Linked DNA regions of Mytilus edulis. The protein of the gene in region 2 binds, or shares a complex with, the protein of the main gene of each other region. Links are inferred from orthologs where the notes say so. Each region holds a gene or a part of one and is shown on either strand. Other genes may lie near its edges.

Region 1 (8,604 bases), on a different chromosome or scaffold from region 2:
AAAGCGATAAACTGAGATAACTTTTGATTATATAATATTAGAGGCATATAATAAAACATTATTGGCATTGTACACTACAGTATAAAATAGAATTAAACTAGACCTGTCTACATAGCCCCTACATGTACATGCATTATCTCAATGCATTATAGTTAACTTGTTGTAGTGAACAGTATTGAGACAATGAAATTTTATATTTTTGACTTCCAGCAATTCACTTTATATGAAATCATTGCTTTTGTGTTTGGTTGACACATTGATACTTAGAGGGCAATTTGACAGAATTATACTGACTCGTGAATAATGACTGAGGTTTGTATACTGTAAATTCAGAAAGAAATGCGTCTACATGTATTTAATATTTAGAATCTCTGATGGACGTCTCAAATGAGAGTTTCAATATTGGTTTTTTGTTTTTTAGGTCAAAGGTCTATGCCACAATGATCTTATCTCCATGAAAAATCGATTTTCCCGGAGAACAGTTTTGCACCTGACATAATAACTTTCCTAGGGTCAAGGTAAGATTGATCTGATTTTGATATTGTTTCACATCCTGCTCCCATGATGATAAATATATACATTTATTGTATAGCAATATAATATTTCCCACAGAAAGTAACCAAAAGTTAGCGTGCAATAAATTCTAATATTGCACTAGTGCAATAAATCGTCAAAACTCATGACGTCATCAACGACAAAATCTTAGTTTAAACCAATTTTTACTTTCAAATATTATATTGCTATACAATAAAAGGGTTATTGCATGAATATTGGGGAATATTGTCCCTTGTAGAACATATATTGCACTCGCAAGCTCTTGCAATATAAAATTCTACTCGGGACAATATTCCCCAATATTCATGCAATAACCCTATAGTATATGTATTCTGCATACATTATTATTACAGTACATGTATACAAAGTTTTGTCAATTAAGCTACAATACAAAAGATTTATATGTAGTGCACAGAAATCAGACATCATTGTTTCCTATCATAGGGGTCAAAGGTCAAATCTAGGTCTGGATGACATGACCTTGATATATAACATCCGCCCACAACCTCATGATGTAATTGCATAACATGATTGATCAGCCTAAGTTCTATGGCTCAAAGTTATGTGCAGGACAAAATTCAGACAATGTTACTCATGTTGCTATCATAGGGATAAAAGGTATACATTATATAAGATCTGTTTTAGGACTGGAATATGATACAGGATTCTTTTGCTTTCAAATTTTAGGCACCATAATCGATCACAATCTGTTAATAAAAAACATCTTTTTTAATCAATCTAAATGTCATTTTAAAAAAGAAGGATCCATGATGATAGGAGATTTGAACAACCTTGACTGACTCCCCAACTGTTGCTTACAGGGCAAGGGTGATCAGCTTGGCAGCCTGCTTACCATGACGTTGTATTGTTGGTAGATGAATCATTGACTCTGTAGTAGATGACTACAAATTGCACTAAAACTTTGATACAGCTAGCCCTTGGATGTATGGACAGCATAATTACATGTATGACACTCACCCATTAAAAATGGGTTTAATATCAGACTCGCTGATGCCGGTTTACTGTATGAGGGCCTTATAAACTAATTTGACTTGTAACATGTTTTAGTTAACAGATAATCAGGACCTGATCCAGCACGTCCTTTCAGCTGTAATGACTGAGACATTACTGAGGATTGGAGGGATCCATGTACTCATTTTCAAGCTTAGAGCAGAACAAAATGATCAGTAGAAAAAGTAGGGAAGGTAAGAAAATCAAGCAAGGAGGCTGACAGCCATGTAGTGAAAATGGACCATTAATACATACCCATCTCTTTTATCTGTTTTAGGAGCAGCATTAATACATCGTTTGCCATTCTTCAAGGAAATAAATCCACACTGTTTGTATGGTCCATTCTTGTCTTCTAGAATATGCTTTATACAATATTCAAATCCTTCTAAGCGATTGTGCATACATGTTCTATGGGAATAGTTACAGAATACTCCTTCAACAGGCTGCTTTGTTTTTCTAATCTGTGGTTGTGTTATTTTACTGCGTATCATTGTAATTCTGAAAGAAAAAATACATAAAAATATTTAGATGTATTAAAACTACAGATATTTATTATCCCTGTAGGTCCACATATGCAAGGCTTTCCACCTATAAATTGCCCCCCCCCCCCCTTTTTCTCATAAAAATCCTAAAATTAGAGATACAGATAAATATCTACAGGGGTAAATTCAGTAAATAAATATACGTCATCAGGGACCGCCACATATTGGTAAAAAGTGCTCTTCTGATTGGTAGATGTTTGTAATAAATATTTTTGGATAGACAGATCAAAACTAAAGTAAAAAAGTAATTAAAAATAAATATTGAATGTACCTATTATTTTTACTACAGTGTTAAAAAGTCTTGGGGGTCAGTAAAGGAATTAAGTGTGAATCTACAGGGTTTGTAAACAAGGCCATGAATGCCAAAAAATGATGCATGACCCTATGACTATTTTTTTATTGTTGCAAAAGATAGGGCTACATTTGTACTTTCATGAATGATATATGAAAGATTTTAAATTCTAAAGGTAAATCAGGTATAAAATTCAAGACATAGATTAGTATTAAAGTCAATGGGGGATTTTTTTTAATGAATTTAGCACTACAAGAATGTGGTACCAGTGACCTACTTTTTTTACTAAAAATTGATGACTGAAAATTTAACAAATTTCCAAATATTTACACATAACCAAGTTTCTCTTATGATCTTTCAAGTTCATGCAATTTTAGGCATTTCAACTTGTGACTCTTTTGTTTCAAATGAGCTGGTTTCTTTTAGCGTAGGTGTTGGATATTATAAAAGGTAAATCGGTCAAATCTTCTATTTTACTATTTGTCTTGCGTTCTATCTGCAACTGTCATTTCAGTAAACTAAATATACGCCTTCCCGAATACATAGTTGTAAGGAAAATAAATGAAATACATTTTCTATGCATTTCATGTCAAAATTACCTGAAATGCGAAGTATTTGGAGGCTATGTTACACAGCTACTGTCCTCTTAGTGTATTGATATGAATTGGTAAAATGTTTACATCACAATTTATTCTTTAAGCTACAAGTAATTAAAATAACTATATAATATTTTTTGTAAAAATCAATGAATCTTAATTTTAAACTTCTTATTGCTCAGAGGACAAAACAAAAATATGCAATTGATTTTAAACCAATTAGTGTTGTCTATAAATTCAGTCCAGTCCTATGAATTTCGGACGAGCATGCGTCCTTTCCATTTTCCTCGGAGTTGTGTAAATGGCGGGGGAGCGATGGATATTCACAAAAGAACAACTTTTGAATACCCCCAGCCGAAAGAGTGGGATAGAAAACGACAAAGAACTTATTTATAGGCAACAAGCTGCCAACCTTATCCAGGATATGGGACAACGGCTCCAAGTGTATCCTGTTTGAGGGAAGGGGGCACACTGCAAACATCGAGACGCGAAGTTCCAATGAACATTTTTCTACCGACGTCACGTTTTCACTAAACGGATGATCACATTGAGCATAAATTGAATAATTTTTAATAAAAATAAAAAAAAAAACTAAAATACCAAGCAATGAAGAAGTCCTTACCATTTGGTCTGAAACTCTTCTCAAGACCGACCATTTTCTGAAAATGAAGTCACGTGTTTTCAACCATGTGACTCCTTGGCACATGTGTTTGTTTATAAAAACTAAAAAATGTACATTGCCTACTTTTGAATTATTAATTTATATCTAGTTCCAAGTTTACCAGAACTTTCATTTGCCTATGTTTCTGAAATTCTGATTTTTATACACCTGAATAGTATGTAATGATTCTTGTCCTTGAAAATAAACTCATAGTACCAGATGAAAACCACTCTTCTGTTCAAACAAAATAAGATAATATTTTCCAATATTATTATATGGAAAAGAATATAATTGAAATTTTATTCTAAATAAGTAAAAAGGAAGTGCTACACGAACAGTATATAGATAGTTAAATACCCAATTCATGTTCTTGGTTTGTCTATATATATAAGTTATATTAAAACCTAATATTTGTAACTATAAACAGCATTGACTACTTAGATGGGTCTTGCATAGTCTGGTTCTGTAACCTATTATAGATGCTACCAATATAGCAATCACTGCTTTAAGATTTATATACGGTCAATATCGACTTTCTTCTTCCTTTTATTTATACCATCGATCTAATTGCAACAGTTTTTACCTTTCACAATGAAGAATAACACAATCGTGTACAAATTAGTTCTATAAAAATTTCTGTGACACTGTACAAGCCTTTTGATTTCAAAATATTGCTAAATAAGCATATATGGATCTTCATAATCAGTTAATAATAATAGTCAGATGTCAGATTGGTCATTGTTATAAAAAATAGCCAAAATATGTTTTCTTGTATCATGATCATTGATTTCCGGGAAAATTTTTAGCTAATTCTGAGGTCTATTTTCTGGGATTAAATTTCTTTCATTGTAGGAGAGGAATGAACAAAAGTAAATATCCTTAGAAAAGACATAAATGATATATCTGTTACTAGATTCTAATACATGGATAATTATACATTTATAAAAGTATACAGAACTGAAAGTAATTGTTGTTCTTTAGTGTCATAGGTTTGTTGCTAGTACATGTTCATCTATCAAAAATATTCTTGCTTGCAGATCTGTTTCTTTTATAAAGATATTTCATTTACCTAATAAATAGACTTAAAAAATCCATGCCCTCCAGGAACTATACACTTGAAAGTTATTAGATTATTAATCGTTTACATTTGTAAGTAATTGTGCCCATCACTGCTTGAAACACAAGTCAAAGTGCATGGCTCCCTTTAAGGGAACACAGTTGTGTGCCGTTATGCTGAAAAAGAATTCTGAACAGTGTTGTATTCATGAATAGTGTCTATAAGTTATTTGTAGCACCTCTTTTAAATAAAACATTTCCTGCAGAAAAAGGGTAAAATTTCATGACTAGTAATAATAACACTGGTGAATGTATATCAAGTTGTAACTTAAAGATAAATAGTGGGAGAGTTTGTCTCTTGCTCTGTACAGGTGACAGAAAGTTTCCTATTGTACATATATTTTTAGATCAAATTTTTCCTTGACATTGATTTCAGTACTCAGCTATGTATCAACACCGCCATCGTTTACATGCACAGATTTTATATGTTCCACTCATTTCAAAAGTTCCATCGCAATGTAAGTTTTTAATTAACATTTGTAAGGGTGGGGGGATATTGTGTTATATATATGAGGGAAATAAAATGTTGGATATATTGTTGGAAGACAGCAACTGATGTAAAAAAAAATCAGAAGGTGTCTTAGAGGTCATCATGGGTTCAGCAACACTAAACAAGTGTTCCACTTTAGATTGTTTTTCCATGATCTACTATTAAATCCAAATTAAGTAGATGACAAAAAAGAAGACATATTTAACATTCCTCTCAGATCAGAGAAAAAGTAGCAGTACAAATTACTTAGCAGTACATGTAGCTCGCACAACATCTTGTTTTTATAAGTCTTCCCAGCCAATTTACCTCAATAAAATTTTTTGAAGTTTGTTTTACACTAAGACTTGTTTTTATAAAACTTTCCAAACAATTGAGCCCCTCTAAAATACGGTTTGACCTTTATTATAATGATTGACATGACAATTTTGTTTTTCATTTTAAACTACATCAATAAAAGATTTGTACTTTCAACATGTCACCATAATAAAGTTTTGTTATTGATATTTTTCTCATAGGCAATGGCAGCAGCATGTTTGTTTTTAGCTGCCAAAGTAGAAGAACAACCTCGAAAATTAGAGCATGTTGTCAAAGTGTCCAATATATGTCAGAATAAAGAAACTCCTGACACTAAAAGTGAAGTAAGTATTTCATATGCTATTCATGTACATGTAGGGTCATTGTTTATATACTATCTGAAATTTAAACCAGATCGAAAATTGTTGCACTTAAAGATGATTCAGTATTCTAGCTAGGTTTATAACATTGTACATGTAGTTTCATGTGATAAGTTAGTTGACAAAATTAAAAGAATATGTAAAATTTTCGCCATCCAAAAACAAACTACAATATATTAGGCTTGTCACTTCAAACAAATGTTGATCTCTTATTTAATAAAAGACAATTCATTTCATTCTGTCATATGTTTACATTTTGTAAGAAGAAAAAAAACACATTATATAGTAATGTCTTGTGAAAATTGATACTAAATACAATGATCATATTTAAACAAAAAGTGCTTTCTGACACCCTCCATTACAAATATGAATGTCACTTGCTTTCATTATGTATAAATTTTTAAAACTGCATTCAGCATTTCACATTACATGTTTTGATTTTTGAAGCAGAAAGCATTCTATGAAACTTCATTAACTTAAAATCTTGTATGTTAATGTATTTTCAGGAATATTTAAATGAAGCTCATCAACTTGTTATCAATGAAAGCATTCTATTGCAAACTCTTGGTAAGTAATGGTATTATAGATATAATTTTATTGTTCTGTCATAAGAGTTTAACAGTACGCTATACAGTAATACAAAATATTTTAAAAGAGAGGTAATGTCATCTTTCAGTTTCCTATTGTAACCTAATAAAATACATTTGTATCATTTTCTTCAAAACTACATGTCAAACCTGAAGAAAAATGCCAGTTTCTGTTGAAAACTTATTATTTGCTGGATACCAATTTTTGTTGGTTTCGTGTGTACTTTATGTATCTTGGAACCACAAATTTATAAGTACAACGATATACAAAAATTTTATGATTATATAGGCAGGCTGACAAAACCATGAAATCAAATATCCTCGAAATTGCAAGTATATCTCTAACAATGAAAATTTGTACTCGCCAACAAAAAAATTATTCCACAGTTATACAGAATATTTTACTTGGGCATGAGAAGTAATGTCAACTTTCAGTTTCCCATTGAAACCTAATGATAAATCACATTTGTACCATCTCCAAAAATAGATAGTTACAACATCTTTTTTTAATGTCACTTGTAAAATTAATACCTATCAACTAAAGTATTCTGAAATATTCTTCTTATGGACCAATTGCTACCAAACTTTAAAATGCTGACCATGTTTAATTATAAAGAATGACCATTTTTATATTCTGGCCAAAAATACCAAGTAGGCAGTTAACTGGTTTTCAAATTATGGTCTTTTCAATTTTAGTTTAAACCTTAGAATATCCTAAATAATTATCTACTGAACACATTTTGAATGAGTTTTATATTGTTTCCTTACAAGAAGTTTAGCATTATAACTAGTACTGTATTTTTTTATACAGGTTTTGATCTGACAGTAGACCATCCACATACCAATGTAGTGAAAACATGTCAGCTTGTAAAAGGTAAGAAAAAACATATTACGAAATCTGAGGATAAGTACATATAGAGAGACAGAGTAGTATTAATATTAAACCTCTGGAAAGCAGCACACAAGTTAACTGCAATTTTCAACTTTACACTGGAATTCGATACATTTAAAGCTAGAAATCACCACATCTAAAATAAATAACAAGTATTCATAATCCTTGGCTTTTCAATTTCGTGGTATTAGCTTTCCTGATGAAGGTAAATCCAGAAAAGCATTTTAGACATGCCAATTTATTAGGTGTTCATTCTATTCCGATTTCATAATTATCACATTGGGAGTGCTAGGTCGTGTGATTATAATTATATTGCGTCTGATTAATGTACTCCAACTTTGATTCAACCAATCAAATTTACAGTTTTTTAGTGTTTCAAGCACACATTTTTTACCTCCTAGTAATGAGTGAAGATTTATGATTGAGGTCCCTTATCTTTGCCCATATATTATCCTGAACATACATGTAGACACATTTGAGAATTCTTTTCAACATCATTAATAGTATCTTCAAATTTACATCCAATGTTGGAAACTTTTAAAGCAGTTGTTTATTGTGAATAATTGACAGACAGAGTTCTTCAACTTGATGTAAATTTTTATAGCATTTGAAGGTTAGGTTATCAAGCAGCAACATGTATAAGGTGTGTTTGTCCAGACTAAACTTGAATTTTGAATTATAAATTTCTATTTTACAGCTACAAAAGATCTTGCACAGACCTCATATTTCCTGGCAACAAACAGGTGAGATTTTATTCTGGATATGAATAAACGAAATAAATATGCATTAAAGCTGAAAAATCGTTATTATAATATTAATGCACAGAAATTGGAAAAAATTGTCCCGGGCAAACTATTTTATAGTATGAATGTGGATGTAGATAAATAGTTCTTCAGTAATAATCGGGATGCTCTAAATTATGACTAATATAAATAAAAATTGTATAAGCAAAATTTTTGATTATCAGCCATAAAAATGTCCCATTCACTGGAAGAAAACCAACTGATTTTAAAGACATGTTCATTGCATGGAACGTAGCTAAAAATATACCAGTTGTTCTCATTTTACAATGGCCATAAACACTACATTAAAATGTTGCAAATGAACCACTATGTTAATGATTCCTTTGCATCTATTTCTTTTAATTACACATATTATAAGAAGGTTGATAGTCAATGCACAAAAGTC
Region 2 (8,317 bases):
CTACCATTAGTATCTAAATATGTCACGCATAGATATGCACACATAAATATGTCACACACAAAATGTTTTCACGTCATACATTTGTTAAATCAAATAGGTTACAAATATTATGATTGTTACTTTTTTAGGTCTATAAAATCACTGTTCAACTGATTATTAATTGAAAATTGAATTATTTCATGTCTACCAAAATAATCGATAAATCAGTGATAAAAAGTTGTTTGTGTATTTTTTTTTCAAATTTTATGTATATAATAGTCTTGTTTAACTCATTGATCAGATAAAATATCATTCAAATGTTTTAAAATCTATTCATATTTCTATAGAAAAGAATTATAAATGAAATATTGGTTTCTGTCTGTTTATTATAAAAGTACAATTTATTAAACGTGAAATGATTGGAAGATGAAAATGAGGTGTTACCATGATCCCCATGAAATCAACAGACATTTGTTTAAACCTTGAAATTCTTTCTTCCCAGTCCTCTGGGCTTTCTTCTGTTCTCATTAGGGGTACATGTCGTCCACACTCCTGCATTAGACTCCGGGCTTTAGCTGTATCATATGGTGGCTTGCTGGGCTCAGTTACTGTACAAACATCTATTTCTGCTTCCCTAAAATACAAAGCAAACATTAGACTGTTCGTTTTCCCGTTTGAATGATTTAACACTAGTAATTTCAGGGCCCTTTATAGCTTGTTGCTTGGTGTGAGCCAAGGCACTGTGTTGAAGGCCGTACTTTGACCTATAATGGTTTACTTTTATAAATTGTTATTTGGATGGAAAGTTGTCTCATTGGCACTCACACCACATCTTCCTACATCTATGTTTATAAAAGTAACAACTGTTAAAATGTTCTATCAAATTTCAAGCACATATTGATCCAACACATTTGAAGAAGTTTTTCTTTAATCATCACTTTCTCTTCCCCTATCTTTCCTGTTTGTTTGTTGGTGTGTTGTTTTTTTGTTGTTTGTTTTTGCATAGGTGGTATTATAGTTGATGCGTGTGAGTTATGTCATATTGTGTTTGCAAATTTATGTCTGCTTGTCTAAAAAAGAAAGTGTGATATAAGTCACTATGAGGCAACTTTCTATCAGAAGACTGAAGGACAAGAATATAAAAGACTATAGGTCTCCTCTGTTGTTATTTTCTCTCATGCTGTCAATATTATTGATACTTTCATTCATCAAAATACATTCAACAATTTTGTAAGTTTTTAATTCAAAGGATCTTTTTTTAATACATGTAGGTGCAACTTTTCTCACTTACATTTTAATTCTTCCTTATGCACATAATAAAAACAAGAATGTGTCCAAAGTACATGGATGCCCCACTTGCACTATCCTTTTCCATGATCCATGGACTGTAAAAATTGGGTAATAATCTAATTTGGCATTAAAATTAGAAAGATTATACTATAGGGAACATATGTACTAAGTTTCAAGTTGACTGGACTTCAATTTCATCAAAAACTACCTTGACCAAAAACTTTAACCTGAAACTCCCACTTTCATTTTCTATGTTTAGTGAACCGTGAAATTGGGGTCACAAGTCTAATTTGGCTTTAAAATTTGAAAGATCATATCATAAGCAACAAGTCTACTAAGTTTCAAGTTCATTGGAATTCAGCTTTATCAAAAACTACCTTGACCAAAAAATTTAACCTGAAACTCCCCCTTTCATTATCTTTGTTCAGTGGACCGTGAAATTGGGGTCAAAAGTCTAATTTGGCTTTAAAATTAGACAGATCATATCATAAGCAACAAGTGTACAAAGTTTCAAGTTGATTAGAATTCAGTTTCATCAAAAACTACCTTGACCAAAAACTTTAACCTGAAACTCCCCCTTTCATTTTCTATGTACAGTGGACCGTGAAAATGGGGTCAAAAGTCTATTTTGGCTTTAAAATTAGATAGATCATATCATAAGCAACAAGTGTACTAAGTTTCAAGTTGATTGGACTTCAGTTTCATCAAAAACTACCTTGACCAAAAACTCTAACCTGAACGGACGTACAGACGAACTGACGCACGAACGGAGCCACAGACCAGAAAACATAATGACCCTCTACTATCGTAGGTGGGCATATTGTAGGTGGGGCATAAAAACAATTTCAACAATTTATTTACATGAATGAACCAGCTAGCAGTACCTCACATTTTATCAAAGATCCATTAATATAAGGATAACAACCGTCAGCTTGCAATTGAGTTTATTTTATCATAACTGTTACCTGTTTTGTACGTGCATTTGTGTAAGATGTGGTAGCTTTGGCATATATAACTTTTTGATAGGTCTGGCATTACTGGCATCAGGATGAGCACTCCATGGCTTGGAATAACAATGGTCCATGGATACTGTACTGCCTCTGTCTGGTTGGTAAATATCCATTTTAAGCAAAACTTATACCTCTACTGAAAAATGATCTGAAACAAAAAATCAAAATCAAGCTTCTGATTCTGCGGTATTGGATCCAGAACTGAACAAAAGTATTCTTGTTTGGGGCAGATAAGTGCTAAATACTAATTATAAAGTTTACTTTATATAGTTATTATAATTTATATCAGTCAGGAACAATTTGTGAATTTTATGATATCAATAATTTTATAATTAACTGACCAGTATATAACAGAGGCTAGATCAGAACTTTTATTTATGTCAAGACCGCCACTATTTTCATTCTCTAATAATAGAGACCATCGTATATACATATAATACAGCAAATAAGAATACTTATGACGTCTTGAAAGGCTATTTTTAAAAAATTCTGTGACGCCTTCATATCATATCATATTCCTAATTATTTTGAAATTATGATTGACTATCATATCTTTACGATAATTATTTTTACAAGGACAATCAAATTGAATCCTCACCCAACACAAAAGGAGTGCTAGGACACTGGGAAGTCTTTTATATGGGGGAGGAAGCTGGAGTAATAGGAGAGAACCACCAGACCACTGGGCAGAAACAGACAACCTAAGAGATATCAGAGGATTGATCTCCAGGTCAAAGTAGGGGACAACTTTGACCAGCCTAGGCGTCCAAAGTACACATTCTAGTTTAATGGTCTAGGTACCAGAGAAATGTGTTGGAGGGTGAAAATCACCCTTGTAATGTACTGAAATATCTAGCACCCCGAGTCAGTATCGATCTCGTGACCTTCAAGCACTGTAGGAATCGGTCTTAACCACTAGACCATGAACCCACACTAATAAAGTAAATTATATGATGTTGATTGTTGTGATGTTCAATTTAAAATGTTTTGAGATGGTTTCGTCATAGAAAACAGCGACCTTTTATATATCAGGATCAAATTTTTGACGGCGACAACACTGCCGTCATTCAGTTACTTACAAATAATTGGGAATGCTGTCTTATGTAGCATTCATACTAAATATATCGACAAAATAAAATTTAGCATTCCACGCCAAAATAAAAAGGTGAAGGTCAAATTTCTAAATGTGTTACGATTACGGAATGGATATAATTTTTTCCCGGAATCCACAGCTTCGTGTGATAAAAAGATAAAAAAAAAAAAAAAAAAAAACCTAATGAAGGCATTAATGAAACTATATGATGAAGATAAGAAATAAAAAGTGATGGTTATCGTCATGTAATGTCATTTTAATGTTATAATTAACATTGCCATTAAAGCGGGAGGTTTGGCATGCCACAAAACTAGCTTCAACCCATCTTTTTTTTTCTTAAAATGCCCTGTACCAGGTCAGGAAAATAGCCATTGTTATGTCATAGTTCGTTCCTGTGTGAGTTACATTGTAATGTTGTGTTTCTGTTGTGTCGTTATTCTCTTATATTTTTGATACATTTCACTCAGTTTTAGTTTGTAACCCGGATTTGTTTTTTTCTTTATCAATTTATGAATTTCGAACAGCGGTATACTACTGTTGCCTTCATTTATGTATCATAATTTTTATTCATGTTTTATGTGGCATTCCTCTATTTTTCCCGTTAACAGTCATGGTTGTTCTTTTCATACATGTACTTAGGTCATGGCACAGTTTCAAGAGATTGAGACTTTTGTTTCTTTATGTCTTTCAATATAATTGATCAGTCACTTTGTCCTTTTCAAATTAGTATAAATGTTCATCATTAACTATACTTTTTATTCTAATTCTGCTCTTTTCTGGCTCATAAGTGTCATTTTGGTATTTTTTATGGAGTAAATATATTATTAAAAATTTGCTATACTCCACAGGATCCAAATTGGATGTTTACACTTTTTATTTATTACATTAAAAGTCCATTCATAGACTAGTACTGGACTTCTGATTACATATATATCAATATAATACATTTTTTTTATAATATACTTGAATGATAAATTTCAACTCACTGATGACAAATGCTCATTACAATGTGTACAAGATAACTTGTTTAACCAGTGGAACATATTTCACAGACAAGGAACTTATTTCACCAAGTGAGGAACAAATCTCACAAACCTAGAACTTATTTCACCAGGTAAGGAACAAATATCTCAAACCCAGAATTTATTTTACTAGATAAGGAACAATTTCATCTACTTGGAACTTATTTTATAGAGATGTAACAAATTATATAGAAATCATCTGTGAAAAAAAAGTTCTCCCAGAACATATTTCCTGTGATATAAGTTCCACTAGAACTTTTTTCACAGGAACAAATTTTGGCTCACATCTAATGCATCTTGGTTCTTTATTGGACCATTATCATAACAAGAGGATAGCCTGTATAGCTAACTTGGTTGAAAGCTAGTGGAGACCTTTAAAATTGGACTTGCATGGTCTTTTTGTCTTGCTGATTTACTTTGCTATTTATATTTTTAAACTAGTTCCTGTATATTTTTTTATGATCACTTTTGCCATTTAAAATTTTAAACTAGTTCCTGTATTTTTTCAGATAAAAAATGGGAAAATAGGTAGAAATTAATATGACAGCATCAATATCAAATACAGAATGCCCAGGTTAGATAGAACTTGTCCTGTTGATCACTTCTGTCATTTTTTACTTTTAACCCAACGAGAAGTGCAAAAAATATTAGGGTCAAGTAGTGATGTGTTTAATAGAAAACTAAACAACAACAAAAGCTTAACTTTACAACTTTGTAACGCATGCATTAAGCTTGATTACATTTTATATCCTTTTGTAATCAACTTGCACAAACACTGTATATTTTCTGACCCGATTACAGTGGATTTCTTGAACAAATAACTTTTTAAATTCAACCACACAAGCATAATATGTATCATATAAAAAAGAAGATGTGGTATGATTGCCAATGAGACAACTATCCACAAAAGACCAAAATGACACAGACATTAATAACTATAGGTCACCGTACGGCCTTCAACAATGAGCAAAGCCCATACCGCATAGTCAGCTATAAAAGGCCCCGTGTTTTCATGTTTTCTTTAGAAAAATAACCACACTTTTTCTAATACATGAAAGGCCTGGAGATAGTGCAGACCTGTCCAAACTGTAAATTTTGTTTCTGTCACAATGACCAGGAATTAATGCTAAAACCATGCTAGCTTTTATGTAATATCATCGGTCATATATTTGTATGTTGTTTTTTTTTATAATTTAACACTATTTAGGCTGATCAGATACAATTAATCGTGATGTGTTGCCTTGATTTTGAGTGTTGGAAATATTATATATATTGATACAAAATATAAGCCTCATTATGGTTTCAATTTACAAAACTTACTTGATAGCCAATAGATTGAAGACCCTGGTTAATTTATACCATATCTGGTTGTTGCAGTTTTATAGCAAAAAATATTGAAACACATACAATTAGCTTCTAAAAAAGTTGTGTAGCTGGTCATGAAGCAGAATATTCTTGAAATTCTATTAGCACCTAACTGTTTCTTAACACATAAAAAGGAAACCAGGAATCACAAAAGTATTGGACACCTTTACCATGCCCTACGGTACCATCAATAACAGACTCTATTGAGAAAGAAGACATACAAACTAAGACAAACAATGAACGACAGATCTATGATATAGGTATTATAATACCGGAGTGGTGTAGTAAAGTCAGTTTTACATGCCCATAAACCTCACCATTTGTCTATTTAGACCATGATATTTAATTATACCACACAAAATGTAGCTACCAACAGAATGACCACTAACTTGATCAAGGAAATAAAAGGGACACTTGGTTATATGGAAAACAGGGTAATAATTAGAGTTTGATATCTGGTATCAACAACTGTTGCTCATTGAGGACCTCTCATAGACCTGTGATTTACTTTTTATTCATATTGAGTTGATGTCTTAAACACATGTACCCTAAATCTTTTATATTCAGTAATACGAATTCTGTAGTGTAACTGAAGTTCAACTTTGATTCTTTGTGAGATTACCAGACTTTCTGTAATGCTATCAAATATTTTGAAGAAATGAAAATCTTTCAACTTTTTAGATTTTGAAGGGAACAAATACAAAAATACAACTAACTACAATCTACATCAAAATTAGGTTTATTTTCTGATTTATTTTATTTTGTTTTGTATTCACATACATCTTTACAAAATCATGATAATATTAATAGTTGAATTAATCACATATTAAACAATATATTAAAGATATTATTGCTAAAATGTATAACTTTCATTATTATGCATGACACATTCAGCCAGAAACCAATTCGTTCATTACTAGTAGAGGAAACAAACAACATGAAATATATAGTACAGACTTCATTTTTATTACAATGGAAAAACAACTGTTCATATTTATTTGAGTCATTTTCTAAAAGCTTCTTGTCAACAATCTTCATTTACTTCGAAAAAAGAATAAAAAAAGATACCATGTAACATGCTTAACAGACTCACATAAAAAAATAAGTTCTAGCAATTTTCAATCTGAAATTAATGTTCTAGCACAGCAAAAAGTAATAAAATAATCAATAAGTCACATTAAAGAAAGACAGGAATAAGTCAATAAGAGTCAATTTTTTTTGGGCAAAATTATTTTTAATTGCAATCCTGAATTATCTCCCTTATAATTGGTATAATTCTTTATTCATATCAATAGAGTTTTGATACTGAATAATAAAGATGTCAAGCTTATTCAACACTTTAAGAGACATACTTAAAGAGTTCATTTAACAAGATGAGAATATCTATAAAAGGTGCAATCACATGCTGGATATATACCAAAGCAGTAGAGTGTAATAGCAAAGAAATGAAAGTTTTGATCTTATTCTTCAAATCAGTTTATCAAAAGTACTAAATTATTAAATTAATGATAAAAGTAATGAAATTAAGCTTTCAGGCCATCAACCTATTCTCTGAAATTAATTTCTTATCAAAATGATTAAAGACTACTGTTATGTGGTTTATGTTGGTGTTTTTAGAATATTATGATAAATAATGTAAAACCTGTTCTGTGAGGTTTAATATGTTCAGGCATTATTTGTCTTTGATTTTGATCATCTCGAAGTATAAAAATACACAAGGGGAGATAAAAGTAAAAACTGAACCCCTTACCAATATTTTCGACATACAGATGGTATTATTTTAATAGATGTTTTTCTTCCTACACACTATAAATAGATGACATGAAAGTCAAATATAAATGTATTATTGGTATTTCACAGTGAATTTTTATAAAATATGTAAATATATTAAAGGATTTCCTTATATACTGTTAGTTTTCAAACATCTACTAAAAAAACAAATGCTTTTAAATATAACAAAAAAAATGATTCCAACATGAAACATTTACACATCAGATAAAAATCTTAAATTGTAACATACTGTTCTTCAAAAAAAGAAGTAATGCATATAAATTTGGCCCCAAATGATCTCAAGGTTTTACAGACTGTCTCCACTTTATGATTGAAATGTTGTTGTTTATCCAAACATCCTGTATATGTACTAAATGAACACCAATCTTGGCAACTATCATATAGGACATTTTTTTCTAAAAGAAAGATAAAATATGAATTTATATGACTCCTTAGTCCTTAACATAAACTAGATAACAAATGCCACTTTCTTTTAAATCCCAATATTATAGGTCAAGTATTATTACGTGAAGAAGAATTACTATAAAAAACAACTTCCTCAGTAATTATGGTTCTTTGCTTGTTTTTGTATACATCACATTGAAAACTAAATAGTGTACAGTAAAGGTGTCATATTTTGTAAAGGCCCTCATTAACATTCTAATAACCAACACTATTTTATTCACAACCACAAAAAAATGAGGTCGAGAGAAGAATACCAATAGAAGATTCAAGATGAGAGAATGCCTGAAAACTAAGTGCCTCATTTGTCTTCAAAATGATTAAAA

The links. Proteins that work in one complex are often made in the same cells at the same time.
Region 1: KAT8 regulatory NSL complex subunit 3-like (region 2) and KAT8 regulatory NSL complex subunit 2-like share a complex: the UniProt entries of both Homo sapiens proteins name them as parts of the NSL complex. The link is inferred for Mytilus edulis from reciprocal best matches to the Homo sapiens genes KANSL3 and KANSL2.

Annotation. Positions count from the first base shown.
Region 1 is NC_092345.1:56,706,940-56,715,543, forward strand, and holds the start of KAT8 regulatory NSL complex subunit 2-like, read right to left. Parts: upstream 3,692-8,604; 5' UTR 3,619-3,691; intron 3,441-3,618; coding exon of another isoform or gene 3,298-3,440; exon of another isoform or gene 3,264-3,297; intron 3,101-3,263; 5' UTR 3,000-3,100; intron 2,065-2,999; 5' UTR 2,058-2,064; coding exon 1,822-2,057; intron 1-1,821. Other genes in the region: cyclin-T2-like, read left to right, coding at 3,298-3,440, 5,150-5,231, 5,779-5,901, 6,444-6,504, 7,336-7,398, 8,114-8,159. UniProt on the Homo sapiens protein: Non-catalytic component of the NSL histone acetyltransferase complex, a multiprotein complex that mediates histone H4 acetylation at 'Lys-5'- and 'Lys-8' (H4K5ac and H4K8ac) at transcription start sites and promotes transcription initiation.
Region 2 is NC_092347.1:90,585,573-90,593,889, reverse strand, and holds the start of KAT8 regulatory NSL complex subunit 3-like, read right to left. Parts: upstream 3,466-8,317; 5' UTR 3,359-3,465; intron 2,428-3,358; 5' UTR 2,393-2,427; coding exon 2,235-2,392; intron 614-2,234; coding exon 449-613; intron 1-448. UniProt on the Homo sapiens protein: Non-catalytic component of the NSL histone acetyltransferase complex, a multiprotein complex that mediates histone H4 acetylation at 'Lys-5'- and 'Lys-8' (H4K5ac and H4K8ac) at transcription start sites and promotes transcription initiation.